3 linked regions of the Arabidopsis thaliana genome follow. The protein of the gene in region 1 binds, or shares a complex with, the protein of each later gene. Each region holds a gene or a part of one and is shown on either strand. Other genes may lie near its edges.

The links. Proteins that work in one complex are often made in the same cells at the same time.
Region 2: AT4G01310 (region 1) and emb2184 share a complex: the UniProt entries of both Arabidopsis thaliana proteins name them as parts of the 50S ribosomal subunit.
Region 3: AT4G01310 (region 1) and EMB3126 share a complex: the UniProt entries of both Arabidopsis thaliana proteins name them as parts of the 50S ribosomal subunit.

What each region holds. Positions count from the first base shown.
Region 1 is NC_003075.7:541,898-548,080, forward strand, and holds AT4G01310 (Ribosomal L5P family protein), read right to left. Parts: upstream 3,670-6,183; 5' UTR 3,584-3,669; coding exon 3,338-3,583; intron 3,050-3,337; coding exon 2,849-3,049; intron 2,764-2,848; coding exon 2,621-2,763; intron 2,468-2,620; coding exon 2,269-2,467; 3' UTR 2,014-2,268; downstream 1-2,013. Other genes in the region: AT4G01290 (chorismate synthase), read right to left, coding at 1-104, 268-464, 804-1,006, 1,120-1,227, 1,315-1,385; ATSTE24 (Peptidase family M48 family protein), read left to right, coding at 4,008-4,038, 4,734-4,881, 4,965-5,049, 5,136-5,231, 5,328-5,393, 5,480-5,578, 5,724-5,837, 5,932-6,042 and 1 more. UniProt on the Arabidopsis thaliana protein: Binds 5S rRNA, forms part of the central protuberance of the 50S subunit.
Region 2 is NC_003070.9:28,269,422-28,274,861, reverse strand, and holds emb2184 (Ribosomal protein L31), read right to left. Parts: upstream 2,792-5,440; 5' UTR 2,700-2,791; coding exon 2,631-2,699; intron 2,541-2,630; coding exon 2,175-2,540; 3' UTR 1,853-2,174; downstream 1-1,852. Other genes in the region: AT1G75340 (Zinc finger C-x8-C-x5-C-x3-H type family protein), read left to right, coding at 2,989-3,026, 3,388-3,565, 3,726-3,820, 3,925-4,020, 4,111-4,204, 4,316-4,533, 4,629-4,706, 4,807-4,899 and 2 more. UniProt on the Arabidopsis thaliana protein: Binds the 23S rRNA.
Region 3 is NC_003074.8:23,441,690-23,448,207, reverse strand, and holds EMB3126 (Ribosomal protein L1p/L10e family), read right to left. Parts: upstream 4,006-6,518; 5' UTR 3,940-4,005; coding exon 3,610-3,939; intron 3,536-3,609; coding exon 3,356-3,535; intron 3,264-3,355; coding exon 3,209-3,263; exon of another isoform or gene 2,948-3,208; coding exon 2,820-2,947; intron 2,693-2,819; coding exon 2,609-2,692; intron 2,540-2,608; coding exon 2,414-2,539; intron 2,326-2,413; coding exon 2,188-2,325; 3' UTR 1,878-2,187; downstream 1-1,877. Other genes in the region: TTA2 (fibronectin type III domain protein (DUF1423)), read left to right, coding at 1-1,139, 1,312-1,877; AT3G63480 (ATP binding microtubule motor family protein), read left to right, coding at 4,399-4,515, 4,605-4,707, 4,867-4,910, 5,017-5,046, 5,134-5,256, 5,339-5,364, 5,437-5,530, 5,607-5,648 and 4 more. UniProt on the Arabidopsis thaliana protein: This protein binds directly to 23S ribosomal RNA.

The DNA.
Region 1 (6,183 bases):
CTTTTTCTTTCTTCTTCTGCTCTATCTTCACTAGTAGAATCAGAAGAACCAAATGTTTCATCATTGAATGAATCTCTAGCGTCACGTCTAGTGAAAGGTGGCGCCTACAAATGTACATGAGAGATTTATGAATCTATGCCGTTAAATCATTCAAATACACCTCACAAACCAGCTGATGAAACCCAGTAACGTGATGGAGCAGTATTCAAGAATCAATGGTACCAGAGACTATTCAAGATGACTACAGCAGATATTTGGGTACTTAACCTTGTATGGGCGAGGAGGATGGTAAGGTTCATTGGTTCTACTCAGCTGATGTGAGTCATTAGATTGAGGTCTAGGGGCAGATGTTCCCGCACCAAATCCAGAAGGCTTAGGGAAAGAACCTTTCCCAAGAAGTCCATCATGCTCAGGTGCTTGCCAAGACCTCCGAGATGGCATACCAGAACGCCTTCCAGGCTCTCCTAACAAAATACACAGTTCCAAATCAACTATAATACACCCAAATTCCAGAATTTTTCGAAAAGACCTTCTTTTCATGTTCACTAGACAAGCAGACTTCATGCCATTCACTTTAGTTAAAAAAAGGTGGAAATCTACATTTACGCATATTGAACAGCCAGATGGATAGAGTTGAAATCATAATAATGAACACTTTTTTGCAGAAAGACATAATTCGTAGGAGTATTTTATAGGTCATATATAACAACAAGGTAACTATTCAGAATACTAGTCCACCTTGTTACTGTAGTAACGTCATCATACAGCATGTAAAGAATAGGATACGAGTAAGCTCCGGCTACCTGAGTCCCGGTCTGACTGTGAATCACTATCTTTATCATTCCATCCACCAGAGCGCCCTTCCCATCTTCCATGGGTGCCTCGAGAGTTAGTACCTAATTCCCCCCTGGTGGGAGGCGATGAACTATAGTCATTCCGCCTGAAACCATGCGACGAAAAATCGCCTGAAATTCTTGCTCGCTCGGGTGAAGGATCTTCGAAGTCACTACTCAAATAAAGAGTGTACAAATCAAGACATGTCACTCCAACATGATCAAACACATTTACACAGTTTCTAGAAATCCAAACTAAAAAAAAAACTATCGGATAGAGTCTCACAGCAACAGTGCTTCATCAAATTCACCAGGCAGATTTGGCAGCTTCTTGCAAACGTCTTTCTCGCTCAAGGATATAAGAAACTTCCTCGTGTATGTAATTCTTGGTTTCCTGAAAACAATTGCAACTGCAGCTGAGAAATGTACAATAAGCAGCAAAACAGAGACATGGATTTTACAAAAAACAGAAAAAACATACTTTTCCGAATCATCATTGGTTTCGACAAGTTGATCCATGGCAAATTGTTGTTCATTTGCTATACTCATCATACAATGCACAAAAATCTTAGCTGATTGAGGCCAAAAAACACCAGTATCTCTTCTTAACGCCTTAATCAAGTAACTCTACAGTAGTTGTCTATAGTAAATACCGTGAAATATGATTCTTCGATATTACAGTAACCACCAATAATATCTCAACTAGCAAAACTTAAACCACGATTCACCACCACGCAACTTCATCAGGATCTAGCTATATGTACAGTGAAAGATTTCAGAGAAGAGAAATTACAGCTCAAAGCCAAAGAAAACTAGCTCATCCTAAACTCACAAGGCTTTAATCTCTCGTATCGGATTCTCTCACCCAACCAAAATAAATAAAAACCTCAAATCGGGAAAAGATGAAAACAGATTATAACATTTCTGCAGTAATCTAAGGTCTTCGACAGCTAGGGTTTTTAGCGCTAATGGGGAATTACATGGATTCCAGAATCCATCAGAAAAGGATAATTAGAAAGAAAAAAAAGTAAGAGTCGCCGATTCTAGAAGAACAAAAGGAGAACGGAGAAACCAATTAGGGTTTCGATCTGCAGAAAGATAATTTTGCTGTTGCTGTTTGTTTTGATCGATTGATGATGAAAAAGAGAAGATCGAAACCAAGTCTTACAAAGAAGAGCGATTTCTCTCAAAGGGGAAGGTAAAATTGACAAATCCACGCGCTAGCTTTTCACGTTCACTCACGCGCTACATTTTGTATAATCCACAAAACTTTCAATAAATTACAGAAAAACCTTGATAAATTTTTACCATAACAACAAGATCCCTGATATTATTTTCAAATTGACTCATAAAGCATTACAAAAGGAGATGGTTTTTCTGAAACATGAAATGGTTGGTTACAGAAGACGATACATACAATAGGCAGCTATGTTCATCATCTCTTTCCTTTTCCTTTAGCATCAAAGTGATGAGACTTTAGTTTCTTCTTCCGCACTATCGCGCCTGTGCTGCCACCACCTCCTTCCCTGAAAGGCATTCCCATTAGAGCCAATAGTTTCTGTCCTTCTTGATCGCTTTTAGCCGTTGTGCTGATGCATACATCCATTCCTCTCGTTTTTCCAACGGCATCAAACCTAGAGTGTAATAAACCAACCAACCAACATAGAGTTTAGTTGCTCGGTTGTAAACAAAGAGTGGGACTAAAGAGAAACCATGCTTGATCTTGTTGAACCAGCGGATAACAAGTTAGTAGTTTTGATTTTGAGGGTAGATACAATAGAACTAACCTGATTTCAGGGAATACACCTTGGTCTTTCACACCAATACTGTAGTTTCCGTTCCCATCAAAGCTACTGGGACTCACACCTTGGAAATCTCGAGTTCTCGGAAGGGCTAAGTTGATAAGACGATCCAAGAAGGAGTACATTACCTGTCACAACAGTCAAAATCACAAAATGTTAATACATAAATAACTCAAAAGGAAAGTTTGATTAGTCAAGAGAAATATAGCTCACATCTCCTCTGAGAGTGACAGCAATCCCAAGAGGTTGATCTTCCCTGATCTTGAAAGTAGCAATGGAAGCTCTAGCTCGTGTCTTAATAGGTTTCTGCCCTGTGATAAGCGCGATATCCTTCATCGCAGCCTCCAAACCCTTGTCGTTCTGCGCCGCATCTCCAATACCACAATTCACTACAATCTTCTGTACCTTTGGAACCTGGTAGAGAAGATGTCCAAGCAGATATACAACAATGATGAGATTGACAAATTCACATTCACATTTGTAAATGGCACATCCCAACAGCACGATTTTATCAACACAACAATCTTAAATCTAGGCTTCTTCACTACATTTTCTAGAAGAAATCAATTCAAACTTATCATTAAAAGCAAATTAGGTTTAACATTCGCTCAAAAAATTCGAATTCACTGAGAATTAGACTTCAATCAATCGCAACAGAACAAAAACTAGGTTTGAGCTCAGAGGGGAAGGATTTGGGGTTACCTGGTGAATATTAACGTACTTGAACTCTTCTTTGAGCGCAGGGATAATCCTCTCGAGGTAAGCGGTTTTGAGGCGTTGAGTTTTCTCGGCTTCAGATTTCTCGACCAGTACAGTTCCAGACGCCGAGACTTTCACCACGTTTCTGAGCGGCGGAGAGAGCATTCGTGCGGAGGATGGAGCCGCTAATGGTGAGAAACGTCCGTGAAACGAAGAAGCGGAAGACTGCAGAAGCGAAGGAGACGCCATTGTCGAAGCTCCAAGTGGATAAAGTGTGAAGTGAGAGCTCTCGGCGTTCGTTGTTGATTAAACCCAATGGCACCTTCGTAATTTGTTGACAGTTTGAGGATAAGGAGTTTTCCGTTTAGCCCCTTTAAAACATAATATTTCAACTAAGGCCCCAATATTTGATAATATACTATTATACTTAGAGATTTTAGATAAAATATAGGGGTTGTTTCATATGGGCCTAAATCTCAGCCCGTTTACTATTTGGGCTTCTAAGGTATAACCCGTACCCGTGTTTTTGTTGTTTTACATATCCACACCGACCTGAGAAGAGTCAAAAACGAAAAACCTCTCTTTTGTCGTTCCTCTGCTTTCTTCGATTTGCTTCTGCTTTCTTCGATTTGCTTCTGCTTTCATCGCGGTTCAGGTCACTCTTTTCTCAGCCATGGCGATTCCTTTCATGGAAACCGTCGTGGGTAAGCTTCAAAACCTTTTTCTGAGACATTTTACTATCCTGTTTCACTCATCGTATTTCGTTTTTGTTTGGGTTTTGCTTTCTGTGTTGTGTGTGTTGAGATTCCATGACTCGTTTGTTTCATATACCATCGTCTCTGCTTCTCGTTTCTAAATTTTGTTCTTTTCTAATAGTGCGTACCTTGATCTGAGGTTTTATTACTCCTACTAGTTTCTTGTCTTACTCGTGCGTTTGATTTGATTTGAGCTTATGTGATTTCATCATCTCTTCCTCGGTTTTAGAATGTACGGAGCTTCTCTGTTAACCAAAATCTAGGATTTGGGAAGAAAAGTCGGAGTCTTTTTTTTCCTCATTCCCGATTGGAAATTGAGAATCTTGAAATTTTTCTTTGTTCAAGTCATACAGCTTGAGGTTTTGGGTTTTCTTGTCAGGGTATTATTATGTTCGTGACTGCAACTAGAGTTTTCTGGAGTTTTTTGAAATGGGTTTTGTGTTGTGGAACCGTATGTGAATGTTGCATCAAAACTCTTTCAGTGCTCCAATGTTTCCATCAGTAGTCAGCACAAGAGATCTTTTTATATCTGGTTGATCAAAAAAGTAGATGATGTTATTGAATTTTCAGTGATGGAGTATCTGTTGTTGTGGCATTTAGAGTAGATTCGTATTTCATCTTCTGTTTTATTCTTTTTCTTACAGGTTTTATGATAGTGATGTACATTTTTGAGACGTATTTGGATCTGAGGCAACTCACTGCTCTCAAGCTTCCAACTCTCCCGAAAACCTTGGTTGGTGTAATTAGCCAAGAGAAGTTTGAGAAATCACGAGCATACAGTCTTGACAAAAGGTTTCGTCTTGATCATATTTATATCATTTTAGTTTTTTATAATTGCCAGGGGATATCATCACTGAGAACTTTAATATATGCAGCTATTTTCACTTTGTTCATGAGTTTGTAACTATACTTATGGACTCTGCAATTTTGTTCTTTGGGATCTTGCCTTGGTTTTGGAAGGTACATATCTGGTTTCGGTATACAGTATCTCATTTTGAATATAGAGTTGTTACATTACAATTGTAAAGTTTTCATTTTTACCTTAGATGTCTGGAGCTGTTTTACCGAGGTTGGGCCTTGATCCAGAGAATGAAATACTGCATACTCTTTCATTCTTGGCTGGTGTTATGACATGGTCACAGGTGTTCCAAATAAACCCCTTCATATAGTCCTATACGTTTAGCATCAAAATATCTATTTTCTTAAGATAATAATATTTCTTTTATATTCTGATGCAGATCACTGATTTGCCATTTTCTTTGTACTCAACTTTCGTGATCGAGTCTCGGCATGGGTTCAACAAAGTATGTCGTATTTCCAACACTACCTTGTGACTTACGTTTTTTTATCAGAGATGTGGATTAAATTTGCTTCTAAATTCTGTTGACAGCAAACAATATGGATGTTCATTAGGGACATGATCAAAGGAACATTCCTCTCTGTCATACTAGGCCCACCCATTGTTGCTGCGATAATTTTCATAGTCCAGGTTTGATGATTCTGGATTCATCTTATTTCTGAGTTTTTCACATGGATGACTATTCTCCATTGAGTGTGAGCTTCAAAGTTTTTAGTTTTCGTGTTAAAAATTTAAAATTTGCTTCTCTGAGCATGAAGTTTCTATCTTTTTCCAGAAAGGAGGTCCTTATCTTGCCATCTATCTGTGGGCATTCATGTTTATCCTGTCTCTAGTGATGATGACTATATACCCGGTCTTGATAGCACCGCTCTTCAACAAGTTCACTCCTGTGTGTATTTCTGTCATGGCCATTTTACAATTCACTGCTTGTTTGCATATGTTGTTACCAGACAATATAATCTCCCGCTTTTTTATGGCTATAGCTTCCAGATGGAGACCTCCGGGAGAAGATTGAGAAACTTGCTTCTTCTCTAAAGTTTCCTTTGAAGAAGCTGTTTGTTGTCGATGGATCTACAAGGTCAAGCCATAGCAATGTGAGAAGCTTGAGATCTCTTCCTACCTACTTTACTCTAGTTTACCATTAGAAGCTTACGTATCTTGTTACATCATACAGGCTTACATGTATGGTTTCTTTAAGAACAAAAGGATTGTTCTTTATGATACGTTGATTCAGC
Region 2 (5,440 bases), on another chromosome or scaffold:
TTATTGTAAGAAGGAGATACACTGACACTGATACGGAAATACGATCGCAGGACTAGTCTTTTTATATATCCTCAATAAGTTAAAATTTAATGACTCTTTTTTGACAATTTAATTTTATACTATGGTTTTGCTTTTTGGACACCCAACCAATGATAATAGTACAAACATATAGTAATGGTTCTTTTGGTTTTCTTTAGTATTCAAAATTTAGAAAAGAACCTAGAGAATACTTTGTTTGTTTTGTCTCTCTTCCTATGAAAACAATGATTAGTTTGTTTACTAATTGCCATCCATAACTAATTAATTGTGGTATCGAAACAATATTTTCACTATATAGAAACTTGCACGAAGATAAAGTGACTGATCCACTTAAAGATACTGAATTTGCTATAGAATATACTGAACATATTTCAACTTACTATAATTTAACGATGCCAGATATAACGCAATATTCGACTTCATATTTGAGGATAAAGTTGATTATATTACATGGATATGGATTTATCTAAACTAGTCCATGAGAAGCCCACTAATCTTTTTAAGAATACACGTGAAAGTCACGCGCCGTCAAAGTAAAAGAATAACAGACTTATCCACACATTAACGAGGTTCGTGGATCCCGAACAAAAGAATAACAGGAAAATGGTCGAGAACCACGTGAAAATAAGATGAGTCATGTGCCCTAACAGGACTTTTTACACAATACACATAGTATAGGGGGGTATATATGCAAATATTTTAATTAAGTTAATAGCTTAATTCATAATTATTATAAAATTGAGGGAGCTATTAGTGTTTACTGCAGACAAAGGCTGATTTGGAAAGATCAACAGAGTCAGATAACTGTCCCCGAACAAACAAACATACGAAGTGCATTATTTTCGACAAATGAACGCAACGAACATTTAAATTGTATTTGTCCCAGCAAAATTAAAATTTATTTAATCCAACACATTGTATTTATTCCAACATAATTAACAAACTAATTAGATATGGTTAGACATATAGTTTAACTAACCCAACACAGCGTCTTTCATCAATCTTATGCTAGGAAACAGGAGACCATTAGTTTATCTTAAAACACCTTCTTTTTGTGTGTCTAAAGTCTTTAAGATAATATTTTAAGACTCAATTTTAGTCAAGATCGCAAATCATTGATAAGAAAGGATCTAAGACTTCAACCAACGAATGAATTTAGTTTAACTCAATTATTCAGATTCAACTGCATCGATCAGCATATGAAGTATGTAGAGATGTCAAAACCCAATTTACTAACGGATTAAAAAGCCCACAGGTTTTCCTTTTGAACTTCAGTGAAAACTTTGGTAGCTTAGTTAAGAAGCAGAAGACTCCAGCTGAGAGGAAATGGGCCTAAAATAGCCCACACATTCGACTGTCTTCAAATGGGCTTGAGACGGCCTGATATTGGTTTGGCTTGATATTGGTAAAACCTCTGATTGAGCTGGAGTATTCTGTTTCTGTTCAATATTGGTCACACAAATTCAGTAGTAGTATACAATTGGGCATGATCACAGAATCTTCAACTTCAAGTGCCAAAAATTTTCTTTTATGTTCTCAAGCAAAACATACTCCTACGCCATGGCCACAGTTCAAGAATCTGCTCACTATTAGTACGCCACTTCGTCGTCAGAAGACAAATGTTTTGCCTGATAACTTCAGCAGACACTTACATAGACCATGATCATCATGTTCAACATCTTATAAATCTATGTAAAAATGATCTCAATCAACTAATCAACACACCACTTACACATCAACAACAACTACCTACACTAGTCATTAATCTCATGCCATAACTTTCCAAGATTATCACAAAATGTGGCAAAAGCCACAACCTTTCTTTCATTTGCAATTACCATTTCATAGGCATTGTTGCTATGTTTCTCTCACCAGTGTATATCTATCTATTATCCATCACAAATTCATGCCAAACTCACAAGCTAAAGATTTGTCCTTGAGATTCGCTACTACTTGTATCATTGCTCTGAGATCCTAGTCTCACTCTCAATGAAACCAAATAGATCTTAAAGAAAGCATAACCAATAGCATTCAGAAGAAAATTCACATACAATTTTTAACAGCCTAAGCAGTATCTCGACTTCAATTGAAAAGACAACAAATTCAAAGACATAAGCTTTACCAGAAAAGACTCATCATTTCTTCTTCCCTTTGGGACCTTTACTTTTCTTAGTAGGCATAATGATTTCTCCTTTAAGCACAGGAATCTCCATAATCTCAGAAAGCCCAGCGAACCTCTTACGAAACTTCTCAACTTGATCAGCATCAACCATCAAAGCCGAACGATTCCCGAGGTAAAACGGATGGTTACCTGACCATACATCAACCACATACTCTTTCTTTGTTCCTCCTGTAGTCATCACCAGCTCTCCATTGCAGTAAACCTTTGCGTCTTCGTGGAATTCAGGATGCAATTCCTTCTTACGACACGTTATCTGAACCACCGTATTGCTGCTTCTTCTCACCGATTGTTTTCCTCCTTTCACTGCCGCCATCACCGGCTAATTTTGAAAAAAAAACACAAACAAATTTAGTGATTTTGGGGAAGGAGGAGAAATAGACGAAGAATGAGAAATCGATTTCGAGCTTACCTTTCTTAATTGCAGAGAAGGAACACATGGGCTAATCTGAAGAAACGAGTTCGGGAGAGAAACCGCCATTTTTGTCTTCAGGAGCTATCTTCTTCTTTTTTCCTGGTGATAGAGAAGAAACGAAGTAACGATTGATGGATAAGAGAATGAGGATGATGAAGTGTATTGGAGTTACGTTTATAACCCTAAATACTTTGAAGATATGTAAGGGTAATATGGTAATTTACATAGAGACTTCCTTTTGTTCTGTTGATACACTCTTCGTCAATCTAACGCTTCTTCATTTTTCTCGAGAGAAGCAAAACTACATATATATATACGCACATACGTACACAGTTCGAAGGTTTTAGCTGCGAGTATGAGGAAGGAACTGTGTAGAAACTTTCAGCGTGGCAGGTAAATACTCTTTTCATCATCATCATCTTCTTCTTCATCTGTTCTAGTTTTTGTTTTGATTCAATTTGTTGTTTTATAAGAGTTTTTGAAGTTTGTTTCGATTGCTGAAGTTTAGGTTTCGTGTTCTATATTCTGGGGTTTAATTTGAAATCAATCGATGTGCGAAGGTGGTAATGTGTTAGAAAACGATGTCTATTGAGCTGAAATCTAAATGAATCATACAGTTTATTGACTTTGATAGATTCTAATCTTCGTTTCCGCCATTAATGAGGGTTGATTTGCTTCGGAAGTTATGATTAGTGATAGTAGAAGCTTAGAGACGTAATTATTGGACTCATCGTCCTTTGTGCTGTTTTTGCAGTTGTAGGTATGGGGAAAACTGTAGATTTCTTCATCCACAACAAGCTAAGCCAAATAATCCCTTTGGCTTTGGTACACAAAACCAACAACAACAACAGCAGCAGCAGCAACAAAATAGTTCGAACCCTTTTGGATTTGGTGTACAAAGTGGTGGTTCCAGCAGACCGAATCAGTTCCAGGTCAATTTGTTTTTTTCCTCTTTTAAGATGCAAGTATTGCTTTGATAGAATGCAAGTTATCGTTCGGCTTTGGATGAGAAAAATGGTGCATCTTCTTTAAGAAACGAAAGCATTTTGCCTGTTGAATGAATGGTGACATGATGATGCTTTTGCAAATCAGAATACTTGGTCACGAACGGCTTCTACACCTACTGGTGGTGGTGCTGCTGCTTCTACACAGCAGACTGGTAAACAGACGCAGCCGGCAGATCATAAGTGAGTGTATATATGTTTACATATGCTTGTTCTATCAATTATCATCCTTTTAGCCGTTTGTTTCTTTGGAAATTTACTGTTTCTCTCTTGGTTACTATACAAAGATGCACAGATCCTGCTGCGTGTAAGCGGGTAATGCAAGACGATTTTAAGAATGAGAGACCCATGTGGAAGCTCACATGCTACGGCCACTGGAAATAGTATGTATTACTTCATTTGGTTTAGCATCCTTGATCTTTATCCATTCTTTATAAACGTGTCTGATTTTTTCTATCTTTTTTTTCTTCTAGTTTTCCATGTGATGTTACCGGTGATATCAGCTATGAAGAACTACGTGCAGTGGCATATGAAGAAGCTAAACGAGGAATACCTCTACAGTCGATTGTGAGATTAACCTTTCTTGTGTTTGTTATACTTTACACTGGTTTTCATTTCATACTGATAAGACATAAGTTGATTTCCTCTTTTCCTGGCTTATTATGGTGCATTATATAGGTTGAAAGGGAGAGGAATCTGCAAAATTCCAAAATAGCCGAGTTTGAAAACTTTCTACGGAATCCATACAAAGGCTCTGTTACCGCCAATCAAAGCCCGTTTGCTGCAACCACTCCTAGTATCTTCCCTCAGTCCAGTCAGATCAATTCCCCTTCTCCAGCATTCTCTGGCTTTAATCAACAAACTGCATTCTCCAATACCAATGCGGGTGGACTCAGGTATCAACTTTTGTGGGATTTCTCCAATTTTCATATCCCAAAAAGTTTGTGTTGCCTTCAAACTAACTCTCGGTTTCCATTTTTCCTCGACATAGTTCATCTGGACCTCCGAATGCCTTTGCAAGCTTCAATCAACAAACTACATTCCCCAATACCAATGCTGGTGGAGTCAGGTACTAACTTTCTCCATATTCCATATTCAAACAAGTTTGTGTTACCTTTATAACCTCTTGGTTCCCATATTTCTCTTTGGCCAACTATTCCTCTGCATAGTTCATCTGGACCTCCGAACCCCTTTGCAAGCTTTACTCAACAATCAAATAATCAACAAACTGCATTCTCCAATACCAACGCTGGTGGTCTCAGGTATCAACTTTTGTGGGCTTTCTCCATTTTCCAAATTCCGTAAAGGGGTGCCTTCATGAAAACTCTGTTTCCATATTTCTCTCTGGCCAATGATTCCTCTACATAGTTCATCTGGACCTCCGAATGCCTTTGCAAGCTTTAATAAACAACCAAATGCTTTCAGCGTCAACACTCCTCAACCTGTTCCTTCAGGTACTACTTCTAATGTTAAACTTTGCTTAAAGGCCAAGAGACTCGCCATCATCTGAAACCTCTTTTGCAAATGATCACAGGTCCCTCTGGTTTCCAAACCAATCCATCAACAACATTCAAACCAGCATCATTTGGACCTGGACCCGGATTTGCCACAACTCCACAAAACAATAACATCTTTGGTCAATCAACTCCAACACCGGCTACAAACACTTCCCAGAACAATCAGACCGCATTCAACTTCAATGTCCCTGTTGCATCTTTTACTGCTCCTGCTATAAACACGACAAATACATCTTCCGGGTAAGTCCTCAATCTGTTTCCAGGTTTTTTCTATAGTTAAAAACCG
Region 3 (6,518 bases), on another chromosome or scaffold:
TGAGAATACAGTCTATCAAAGACTGATGGAAAATGGAAATGGTTCAGTTCAACCTCGAGCAATGAAAGGCAATTTAATTTCGGGTCAAGCTGATGAAGAGCATCTTAGATTGCCCGATGGGAGCTCTAAGGCAGCAAATATACTTGAGAAACAATTGAGTTTCCAGAAAAGTGTTGATGTTAGATCAGCATGTCCAAGAACGGGCTCTCTTGAAAATGGTTCAAAGTTTACTGTTGAGAAGAAAACGGCCAAGGACTTTTACAGTGGTAGTAATTCGTGGATAACTGGGCTGGAAGCCGGTGGGCATGATTTTGTTGAGACCGTCATCAGATACATTCTCTCCGATTCGATGCCTGTAATGACCAAGAGATTTCATGAAATGCCCACTCGAAACATCACTAGCCTGAAGGAAAACATTCGGCAGATGATGCTGAACATGGATAAGAATGTACAACTTGGTGCTTTTCAAGATGCTTTGCAGAACAGGACTGATATAACACTGGAATTGCTTACAAAATCTCATCGCGCTCAGTTGGAGATCTTGGTCGCACTGAAATCTGGGCGTTCTGATTTCCTTCTTTTGGACAACAGCATCTCGTCTTCCCATTTAGCTGAGATTTTCATGAACATGAGATGCAAAAATCTTTCTTGTAGGGTTCTGTTGCCTGTGGACGAATGCGATTGCAGGGTTTGTTCAAGGAAGGATGGATTTTGTAGTGCTTGCATGTGTCTTGTGTGCTCAAATTTTGATATGGCATCCAACACCTGTAGCTGGGTTGGGTGTGATGTGTGCCTACACTGGTGCCACACAGATTGTGGGATAAAAGAGTCTTACATCCGGAATGGGATCAATGCTTCTGGTGCTCCAGGAATGACCGAGATGCAATTTCACTGTGTTGCCTGTAACCATCCCTCAGAGATGTTTGGCTTTGTCAAAGAAGTGTTTCTGAATTTTGCAAGGGAATGGAAATTTGAGCGCTTTTGCAAGGAACTGGAGTATGTCAATAAAATATTTTCATCAAGCAAAGACTCTAGAGGGAAACAGCTGAGACAAGCTGCTGATGCGATGCTGGCAAGTTTGAAAAGTAAATTGATAGGCCTTCCTGAAGCTTGCAATCGCATATTGGGTTTCATTTCAGGTGCGCGAAATTGTATAAATTGTGAGCTTTATCTGGGTATCAAATATGGCTTTATTAGTCTGTTTTAGTATAGATGATCACACAGTGAACACATGTTGGTTAAATTCTTGTGATATATGTGCCATAGATATTCCTTGTAACAATCTGTCGATACTTTGCCTGTTGATTGCAGACTGTGATTCCTCCACTCCTGCTGAAACTAGTGCACCGTTCATATACGAACAGCCAAAACCCAGGCATGAGAGGGGAAGCCCTAGTCAGGACACGGCGTGGCTGAGATCGGTGTGCTCAGATAACCCGCATAATCAGCTGAAAAGGTCAGCGAGCGTAGCTGATGCATTCCACAGAGAGAGGCAAGTTGAAATATGTGCAGTGGAGATGGAGTTGGAAAGGGGTTCACCAAAGGAACCTCGTTTCGAAGAGCTAGAGAGCATTGTGAGAATGAAGCAAGCAGAGGCAGAAATGTTCCAAGGGCGGGCCGATGATGCACGAAGAGAAGCAGAGGGACTGAAACGAATAGCAATAGCGAAGAAGGAGAAGATAGAAGAAGAGTACAATCGGAGAATGGGGAAGTTGAGTATGGAGGATGCACAGGAGAGAAGGAGGAGGAGGTACGAGGAGTTAGAGGCAATGCAGAGAGGGCAGAGAGAGTTTTATGAAATGAAGATGAGAATGGAGGAAGAGATGAGAGGGCTTCTCACCAAAATGGAAATGACGAAGCAGAGTCTGGCCTTGTAATATTTGTAGTAGTAAATCACATGTAATGTACACAGAAACCTCCTCCTCGTATGTAACCTAAAGATCAATGTAAGGTCTTTTCTTTTAGAGAGTACTAAAGAGTTCTGCGTCCTGACATGTACAGCCCCTTGCCAAATTTTAATAGGCAATAGTAAATAAATAACGACAAGAAGCAAATGGCCATCAAAGTGATACAAAGCAGTGAGGCGTGAAAAGATTACTAACAGACTAGACTTGGTGTTTCTCTTCTCTGTCTACACTGGCATTGCCCGTCTCCCAAAAGGACCCCATTTACAAATGGCGTTGTCGATTAGTTCGCAGTGGGAGGCTTGAAGTCTATCATCTCTCTTATGTTCAACTTGATGGAAGGCCCCATTGACGAGCATATGTGAGCGCTTTTCCAGTACACTCCTTTAGCTCCCTTTGGCTTGTTTGTCTCCACCGATTTCTGCATTTCATCATTTACTTTTCCCTCTTCATTTTTTTTTGTATTTTAAACCACAGAAATACGTAATAAGAATGGAGAATTAGCCTACCACTGCTGCAAGGAAGTTTATGAGAAGGTCTTCCTCTGTAAAATTAACTTTCCCAAATGGAATGTGAACAATCCCAGTTTTGTCTGCTCTGAATTCAACTTTCCCCTTCTTGAACTCTTCAATAGCCTGAGAGATTTATGCATCTTTAAGCCATGACTACCAGAATCAGGAAAAGATGTTGCAGAGTAGGCTTACCTGGGGAATGTTCGCTGTGACTGTACCAGCCTTGGGATTTGGCATGAGCCCCCGTGGTCCAAGAATCTTTCCCAGGCCAGCAACCTAAGCGCCAAGTTCAAGAATGTTAGAAAATAGATCACGAGTTACAAGTATCTCATGCCACCTTATTTGCCAAGCATGACGGTTTCATATGCTGTAACAAGTAGAACATTATATCATCAACACATACCTTGACCATCATATCCGGGGATGCAATCAGCTTGTCAAACTCCATGAAGCCTCCTTTAATCTGTTCGATTAAATCATCACTGCCCACAATATCTGCCCCTGCACTTTTGGCTTCATCAACCTTCTCACCTGGAAGTTCAGCATGGAAATGGTGCAAGCCAAAGATTTAGAAAGAATAAGCCACATGATACACAAGAACTCCATCCAATCAATATATAAATAAAAAGTCAATCGCACCAAACAATGTTGCATCTAGAGAAGTACTGACTGACTGACTGATACCGTAAACATTATCTCTGTCCTAAGTCCTAACAGTGAATTTGGTGACTGAAATGGTAAAGCATAATCTCTGTCCTAAGTCCTAGCAGTGAATTTGGTGGGGCAATATACCTTGTGCAAGAACAGCGACTATAACAGTCTGGCCAGTTCCCTTAGGCAGGCTCACCTATACAAAAAGACAATGCATTGAGATTAAAAAATGTTGTGGAATGAAGCAGCACAAGATAGAGTGTATATCCAGCAAAAGGCAAAGCAGACCGTTGCACGCAGCTGCTGGTCATTGTACTTAGGATCGATGTTGAGACGGAAATGGGCTTCAACAGACTCAACAAACCTTGTGTTGGCAGTTTGTTTAAGCAAAGAGATAGCAGTGTTGACATCATACTCCTTTTTGGTTTCCCTTAGCTTTTGGATTTCCAAAAACCTCTTAGACCTTGTCTGTCAATGGGTAAGCAAACAAAGTGATGATTCACGAGTAAAGGAAGCGAAATTGAAGTAGGTAAAGCACATACTCTATCTCTCTTGAGAACCAAAGCGGCTTTTCCTTTCTTAGGCTTGGGCGGATCAAGGACGGCGGTGGCGGTCTGCTCCAGGTCCTCCTCCGTGTCGAGGTCAGCCTCAGCGGCCACGGCGGAGACAATAAACTTGTGGTTGGAAGCTCTGTCAATAGCAGCACATCTCCGGTCCCTGGAACCCCCAAGGAGAAGAAGCGGGAAGCTCAAGTGGTTGGGTCTGGAGCTGGCAAAAGAGAAAAGAGATGGAGTAGGGGTAAGGTCCTGGGAACGAGTGGATGCGGCGGCGTATGCTAGCATGAGAGAGGAGTGAGTAGCGCAAGCAGCCATTGTTGGAGCTCTCTTTCTTTCTGGGTACAAAGAAGAAGAAGAAGAGTGCGAGTCTCCCTAATCCACTCCACGCCCAAGGGGATAACAACACCCCCTATTCTTTCTAAGCTATTATTCTCTGCGTGGCGGGCACCTTAGCTACCGTGTTCCTAGTGACACGTGTCTTCTTATGGACCATTAGATCTTTTAACAACCCACACGCGTATCCTCGTGACCTCTTCTCCTTCTCCTTCTTCTTCTTCCTTCTCTTTTCTCAAAAATCAGATTTCGAGTTTCTTCTTTCCCGCCCGTAAGAGAAACCCTACTCTGACTCTCCACTCCATTTGAGAGGTAAGTTCCGATTCCTTTTCTCTCAGCTTCAAATTTCCTGTGCTACTATTTCCCCAATTTCATTCATCTTCTGCTGACTCATTTTGGGTGTTTCACTGTAGACTGAGCTCGTTCCGATAAGGAGAGGAGATGTCTAACGTAACCGTCTGTGCGCGATTCAGGCCGCGAAGCTCTAAAGAGATGCGCGATCCCAGCAGAGATGGTGTCTGTGCTCGACCCATCGACGCTGAAACCTTCGTTTTCCAAGTTTGTCTACTCGACGCCGTGTGCTTGATTAATATTGTCTCTCTCTCTCTGTCTCTCAAACTCTATCTAGCGTTTTTACTTGCGTGTAGGATGACAAGGAAGATGAATTTACATTTAGCCTCGATAGAGTTTTTTATGAGGACTCTACCCAAGCTGCGGTTTATGAGTTTCTGGCTCTCCCCATCATGAGAGGTACTAATTGATTCCTTGATCTTCTCTTCTGGATTTTAGATCTAAACATTTGAGCACCAATCTTATGATTTTACAATGTAATCAACATTTTTGGTTTTGGTTTCCTCCTACCTTTGTCTTTTGCATCTTTTACCTTTGTACTACTACTACTACTTTCAGACGCTGTAAATGGTATAAACGGAACAATCATCACTTATGGACAGGTTTGTTCTTCTCCTGATCTCTTTTATCTGGAAATGCTTTCAATGTCTTTTTCTTAATTTGGCAGATTTTGATCTCAATTTGATCGTTTCATGTTATACTATGCAGACAGGGGCTGGGAAGACTTATTCCATGGAGGTCACCTAACTCATCTTGATACCTCTTCCTGTAGCACAAGGACCATTCCTTCTTCTGGCTCATTTTGGTTTTCTTCGATTGATTCAGGGACCAGGCATCCAGGACTGTGATGAGCACAATAAAGGACTTCTTCCAAGAGTGGTCCATGGGATGTTTGAGCAAATCAGCTCTTCCAATGATATTGCAAGATACACTGTTAAATTGTCTATGGTACTGACTTAAATGCACTTGCTATAAGTCTCCTTTCAAGCTCTCCTGTATAGACATCTTACGTGTCTTTTGTCTCCTCTAGGTTGAGATCTACATGGAGAAAGTCAGGTATTGTGTATGTAATTCCCTCTGATTTCTTCTAGGGTATATAGCTTATCGATAAATTCATATATCTCTCAGGGACCTGTTGGACTTATCAAAAGCAAACATACAGATCAAGGAGAACAAAACACAAGGAATACTCTTGTCAGGCGTTACAGAGGCTAGCTTCATTGTCTTATATCTTCTATTTGCTAGTGTTGAGAAAAATCTTTACTGGGTAGGCAAGTTTTAATCATTCGTTGCTTCAGGTGCCTGTATCAGATTCGGTGGAGGCATTACAACATCTATGCGTAAGATAGCAGCTACCCTAAGTTTCTTAATTGCCTTATACGGCCTTCTTCTTTCTTATTTCTGATGCCAATTGCCATTTCAGACCGGTTTAGCTAACCGCGCAGTTGGGGAAACCCGTATCCTCTTAGCTTTTACAGCACTTACTTGTTCAATGTTTCCCCATTTAGTCGATAGTGAGATTATGATTATGCTACTCCGAGTTGACTGAAAGGTTAAAACTGATTGAGAGTCATCTTGAAGAATGTTTCCAGTTTAACAATGAATGACAGAAATGAATATGTCCAGCAGTAGAAGCCACTGCGCCTACTTGTTCACAATCCAGCAGGATTCAGTTAAAGATAAAAGGTAACGATTTTTTACAATTAATCAGAAAAAAGTGATGCTGTAGTGGTGGAGCTTATATACATATCTGGCATGTGAACAGGGTAAAAACAGGAAAACTGATTCTTGTCGACCTGGCTGGCTCAGAGAAAGCAGACAAAACTGGAGCAGAAGGTAGGGTTCTTGAAGAAGCGAAGACGATCAATAAATCGCTCTCAGCCTTGGGGAACGTGATAAACGCTCTCACTAGTGGGCCATCTAGCAAAGGGAATCACATACCATATCGTGACTCCAAGCTTACTCGCATCTTACAGGATGCCCTGGTTAGTATATCTTCTCAGGTTGATTTTATTTTATAATTTTCTAGCTTGTTCTCAATTCTATTGTGGTCTCTCATGCCACAGGGTGGAAATTCTCGAATGGCGCTGCTTTGCTGTTGCTCACCAAGCACTTTAAATGCATCTGAGACGCTCTCAACTCTCAGGTTTGGCATGAGGTATGCATCTCAGAGCACAGTAACGGTTTCTTGCTCCATGTGTTACGTTATT